Linked DNA regions of Kluyveromyces lactis. The protein of the gene in region 1 interacts with the protein of each later gene in a pairwise test. Links are inferred from orthologs where the notes say so. Each region holds a gene or a part of one and is shown in the gene's direction. Other genes may lie near its edges.

Region 1 (2,824 bases):
ACAAAAGTCTTTCCACCGACGCTTCAAGAAACATTTGAATAGCCGTAAATAGAACCCTAGGATCCGATAAAGTGATGTCTGCATTTTCTAATAGAGATAATTGAACCTTGATTGGATGACTATTTTTTACTGATTCCAATAATAAGTCCAAATTGATCTTTTCTTTCAAATATGTCACACCAGCATCATATTTAATCATCGCATAATATATGAATAAAATTAGTTGAGATGTGCATATACTCACAGCGTCTTGGCTAAGAAGTTGGTCTCTCAGGTATATGATTTTAATTTGAGAAAGTAGCTCCACTTTGTTATCCACTTTCAGATGGCTAAGCTTTGCAGAAGATACCTCGTTCTGGAATTGAAGCTCATTATTCCTTAATTGTAACGAAGTAAGTTCTGCTTGTAATTCTTCAACTTCTGGTGACATTTCTTGAGAATATTGCCCCGATTTATTTTGCAGTGATTGTAATTCATTCTTTAAGGTTTTGTTGTTTTCCTTCAATGCGTTAATTATGCTCTCGTCAGTAGAGAGAGTTTCCTGAAGTTTCGCTATTTGAGAATTTAGCTCCGATTCGACCTCTTTATAAAGTGCTTCTAGTTCTTCATCTGCCAATTGAGTTTGTTTCAACTTGAGTAACTCTGACTTAAGACAATCAAGCTCCGTACTTAATTGATGGTTTTCTGTAGTAAGAGATTCAATGATGTTATTAGAATTACTATTCGCACTGAAGTGCTGTTTCAATTCATCTAATGTTTTTGTTGTTTCAAATAGTTTACTCTCTAAGGCTGATATTGTTCGCAAATATGTCTCTGCCTGGGTTTGCAGTTCTTCATTACTATTTTTCAAACCGTTGCATTGTTTCTGTATTTCTGTTAGGTCTGATTGCAGCTTTTGTAGTGCAACCGTTAATAATCTGTTTTGCTTGATAAGGGCATCTGATTCTACTGATTCTATCTGATCAGTGTTGACATCAACGTCTGCTTTTCTTCTTATTAAAATTTCTTCTTTATAATCATTAAGCTCCTTCAAAGCACTTTCATGAGCAATGGTCAAGCTTTCTAATTCAAATATCAGTGAATCATTGCGTTGCTCTGCCTCATCTCGTCCTAAAGTTAATTTCTCCAATTGTTCCTCGAGAAATTGCACTTTTTCAAGCTCTTTTGATCTCAATCCCAGCTCCTTTTCAAACGAAATACATTTGTCATTAACTGACTTGAGTTTAACTTCCAATCTTCCAATGATCTTTTTCAATCGTTCGGGATCTGATGAGTTAGAATTCGTAGTATCAGGATCCTGAAATTGTTGCGAGTTCGGTGCAGAATTTTTATAGATACCCTCTCTTCTACTGAATATACCATACATCCGACCTTTTCTACCCTCACTGAGTTCAAAGTACCTGACTCCCTTGACGCTACCATCGTTCTTCCCTAAGGGTTCATCTAACTCAACACCGATCCAAATCCCCGCTGCAAACTGCGTCTCGCCTATAAACCGTACAGTTCCTGCCAGGCTGCGTAGCACTACCCTATCTCCTAATTCCAGATCCATTGTTTCATTTTAGAACTAAAGAGTAGTTGATCTGGCAGTACTGTAAGGTATTCATCAGTTATTGCCTTCATTTCTTTCAGGATATGTGTTTATGTTCCTTAAACTCAATATTGTCAAAATAATCATAAACATGAAATCTTTAAACATATTTTAAAGAAGTTTCACGAAGTTTACGCGTGCAGCAAAAGAGGTAAATTAAGAGGTTCGATTGACTTACAGCCAAGACTCACAACGGCAAGAAATCTAACCCAATTCGGATCATAGAAACATGAATAACAGAAGGCCCAGTGGACGAGTAGCGAAATCCGTGGATAAATCCACTTTACAAAAGGAATTATTAGAAGAACAGAAACAAGAAATATACGAGGCGTTCTCACTCTTTGATATGAACAATGATGGATATCTCGACTATCATGAATTCAAAGTCGCTCTAAGGGCATTGGGTTTTGAACTCAGTAAAGGAGACATATTAGAACTTATCGATAGGTATGATGCAGACGGACGCCGGTTAATACAATACGAGGATTTTTACCTGGTAGTAGGAGAAAAAATATTGCAAAGAGACCCATTGGATGAAATTAAACGTGCCTTCAGGCTATTCGACGATGATAACACGGGCAAGATCTCATTGAAGAATTTGAAACGTGTAGCTCACGAACTAGGTGAAAACCTTACAGACGAAGAACTACGTGCCATGATTGATGAGTTTGATCTTGACGATGACGGAGAGATCAATGAAGAAGAGTTCATTGCTATATGCACTGACAATTAGTGCTTCACGACCATTTCCATTGCCACAGCTGGAGCCCTGTGCCGCATGTATATCTCACCTTGTATATCCTATGTAACATCAAGCTATAATACTAAATCAAATGCGAAGAATCTGATAGTCTAATTCGGATCACGTGCTTTCATTTTTCCCTTCCAAAAAAATTTGTCGATGAAAAACTTGAAGGAACGGAATCAAGAAAGACATATGTATCAATATGGTACTATGGAATGAACCACAAATGGTTTATGTTCTGTGAAAAGGACGGTGGTATTCGATACTAGAATAAAATAGATCAGCGGGTATGTCTTCATATAAACATTTATCGAAGGCTGGTGCCCGTTTTTTGGAGCAAGTTCAAGCGAAGAACTCTAATATTGCGAAACAATTTGCCAAGTATGAAGGTTTGACGATGCCAGAGTTCTTGAAACCATCGTTGCCTCGTGTCGAAGAATCCGAGAAGTATAAGAGTGTAAAGCAATGGAAATATATGCCAGGTGATA
Region 2 (3,479 bases), on another chromosome or scaffold:
AATCGTATCAGTAAGCTGGTAGAAACGTGAATATACCCAACGCAAGTCGGGGTTACAAATATGAATACAACATCGCAGTATAAAGCTTAATGGATTTCAAAATGTGTGTATTTGAGATATATCTACATAGTAATAAATACCGACACACAGATACACATCATATAAGAAAAGACATCTTTAAATATGGAATAATTGTGGGAAAGAATATGTATTGATAAAGTGAACAATTTGTCAACGTTACATTTATTCGTAGATCCAAGACAATTGGTTCAACTTGTAGTCAATAAGTTCTTCCTTCTTGAACCACAAGCCGATTTCCTTTTCAGCAGATTCAACAGAGTCAGAACCGTGACAGACATTTCTACCAACTTCAATGGCAAAGTCACCTCTGATGGTACCTGGAGCAGATTGCAATGGGTTGGTAGCACCCAAGATAGCACGACCTTGCTTAACAACATCCTTACCTTCCCAGACAGTAGCTAAAACTGGACCAGAAGTCATGTAAGACAATAGAGATGGGAAGAATGGCTTGGAAACCAAGTCAGCGTAGTGCTCCTTCAACAAAGCTTCGGTTGGAGTAACCAACTTAATACCAACCAATTTGTAACCTCTGTCTTCAAAACGAGCTAAGATCTTAGAGATCAAACCTCTTTGAACACCATCTGGCTTGATAGCAATGAAAGTTCTTTCAGTGTTAGACATTTTTCTCGAGTTAGTTAATACGTGATTCTGTGTACGATCCTGCTATGAACTAAGAATCAATGGAACATAAGCAATCGCTAACCCCAGAAGTTGAAATAAAGTGCATGGAAAGAAGAAAGTTACTGCAAATTGAAATCAACGAAATTGAAATATTTCTCGAGAGAGCCAACGAATGAGGATCCGATTCATGCTCGATGAGATTGGTGCAGACGAAGAAATGCCGGGGAAAATCGAAAATGAGAGAAAATTTTTCCGGCACGTGACTTTGATTAGTTGATGTTTGGGGCTTCTTACTGAGGAAGCTGTAAAAGTATGGTTCATCATACACAATAGCAGAAAGGTGTCCATATCGTTAGCAAGCGCATTCGGAGGTTGGGATTAGGCGAAACACTGTATGTAAACCCCAAAGAGTGTTTATGGATATATGTCGAGGCAAGTCTTCAAGTGACTTTATCGATCACGTGACAAGAAAAATCAACAAACGGAAATCATGGTCTCTTGAAACATTGTACCTGGCTCATCTAATATTAAGGTTAGAATCAGACAAATCAGAAAAACTTCTGGTTGACATTTGACTCAGATCACCTTTATAGGACAAACTTTGAATTGAAAAGCGCCAGTGGATTTTCCTTTGTGGTTTTTGGTTATGGACCATTTCTTTGGGGCTCTAAAGGCAGGTGATTTTAGTGTATTGGATATAAACATCGAAAGAAATGGACAATTAATTCTTGAATTGCAACAGTTTTTGAGATCCAATGACAGCATTGACCTTGAGACCCTGATAAATTCACATTCTCTTTATGAGAACAGATGGACCAGGTTTAATAATTTGGTAAGTTCATTTCTTGGGTACTGTAAAGAACTGAATCCATATTCATTATGGGAATCGTCCTTCTCTGTGTTCCAATATTACCAGGATTTGAATACATGTCTCACAAACGAGACAACAATGTACCCTATTGATTCTTTGGTACCACTGTTTACAGCTACAACAGAATTGGTCATTCCAATGGCTATTAGATTGGATGCTAACCATAAGATCATTGGTACAAGACAGCATCAGTTTCTGACCCATATTGCTTCCATCATTTCCAAATTGTTCAATAGCATTAAAGCCAGGGTCGATGATGATAAGGTCGAATTTGATCATTTGTCAGGGAAACAGAAGGTCTTGCTTTATATTTCAAACAAATTGAACATGATTTATTTCAAGATTAACTCCCCATCTTCGTGCGCTAACATCTTCAAGAATTTGAAACCAAAGTCTAATATCTATTCGTTCAACCAATACCCGTTGACAGAGAGAATCCAGTATAGGTATTACTTGGGGAGATATTACCTATTAAACCATAGAATGGTTAATGCTTTCCATCAGTTGAACCAATGTTACGAACTCCTAGCCACATTACCCGACTCTATTGCGAAACAGAACAACAGGAGAAGATTGTTGAAGTTTTTAGTTCCATGTGGTATCATTATCAGCAAGTTGCCAGATTTCAACAAGTTATCTCAATGGGACCCTATCCTAGCACAGAAATACACAGCTCTTGTGATTGCCGTTAAAAACGGAAACTTGAACAGAGTAAACTTCTGGCTTTACGAGAACGAATCGTGGCTGAAATCATCTAAATTGTTGATTGTTCTATTGGAAAAGCTACCCATTATAACGTTCAGATCCCTTTTGCGATCTATTTTCCTATACTACTGTATACCGCGCAATTCAAATAAACTACCATACTCTGTGATAAGACCAATTCTAGCAAAATCCATCGGTTTATATCCACCTGAAATGCCATCGATATATAAAGACAATTACACCGCAGAATCACTTGAAAATATCCTTGTCACACTTTCAATTCAACAATTGTGGAAGGGAAATGTGTTTCCAAGCCTGCAAGTGTGCGTTACGATGAAGACTAACGATATCTCAGTAATCTTCCCTAATATCAATGAAAAGATCGTCTCTAGATTTTCGTTGAACCAGGAAGATTCCTGGCTCGATAAGTAAATGATAGATAATATACATATAGTATGTAAAAATAGATGACACAGCCCCTCCTAACCTGATTCGGGTCCCACTATCATACCCAGTCGTGAAACACTTTTGGAAGACTCAATTTTTACAGACATGTCTATATAGATATAAGAATGCTCTCACATATATCTGTTTGTCTTCCAGGTCACATTCTGCAAAAAAAAGTAAGAAATTGAAGAGAAGTTGAAATTTTGTTGAAGTTTCCATTATTTTTGTAAAAGGACTGATGATTACAACAGAAAACAAAGAGAGAAGGAAACATCCTTATAGCTAACTACTTTGTTAACAAGCTTTTAGCCATCAACAAAGAGTAGTGATATAGGGCTGTTCTTTGTTTGAGCTATTGAATTTTCCTATAGTGAGTGAGTGTTTCTTGTTGAAAAGAAAAGGTGCAAGAAATACTTCCAAACACAGGTTTTAAGCTTGTTGTGGTTTTTATTTACAAGAACGCTAATCATAATCACTTTACAAGAAATTCAGAAGGAATTTATCCCAATTTTTTCACAGGTAAGGACTGGGTTTTATTATAATTATTATTTTTTTTATTGACCTTTGAACTTTATCTTCCCTTGTAAAGGTTAATTTGCCATTGCATAAGTTCATCTATCTATAGAGCGTTTTGTCTCCGGAGTGCTAAAATATCACAATGTCAGATAATGGGCCAGATTTGTGGCTTGAGAAGATCAAGAAATGTCAGGCTTTGACGGAGTCTGAGATGAAACAGCTATGCGAGATGATGAAG

What was found.
Region 2: the proteins of CDC31 (region 1) and THP1 interact in binary tests that used the Saccharomyces cerevisiae proteins (3 or more experiments, as listed by UniProt). The link is inferred for Kluyveromyces lactis from reciprocal best matches to the Saccharomyces cerevisiae genes CDC31 and THP1.

What each region holds. Positions count from the first base shown.
Region 1 is NC_006039.1:836,357-839,180, reverse strand, and holds CDC31 (centrin), read left to right. Parts: upstream 1-1,820; coding exon 1,821-2,324; downstream 2,325-2,824. Other genes in the region: NIP100 (Nip100p), read right to left, coding at 1-1,552; MRPL40 (mitochondrial 54S ribosomal protein uL24m), read left to right, coding at 2,626-2,824. UniProt on the Saccharomyces cerevisiae protein: Functions as a component of the spindle pole body (SPB) half-bridge. At the SPB, it is recruited by KAR1 and MPS3 to the SPB half-bridge and involved in the initial steps of SPB duplication.
Region 2 is NC_006040.1:315,077-318,555, reverse strand, and holds THP1 (Thp1p), read left to right. Parts: upstream 1-1,348; coding exon 1,349-2,710; downstream 2,711-3,479. Other genes in the region: YNK1 (nucleoside diphosphate kinase), read right to left, coding at 244-702; type 2A-related serine/threonine-protein phosphatase SIT4, read left to right, coding at 3,384-3,479. UniProt on the Saccharomyces cerevisiae protein: Component of the SAC3-THP1 complex, which functions in transcription-coupled mRNA export from the nucleus to the cytoplasm.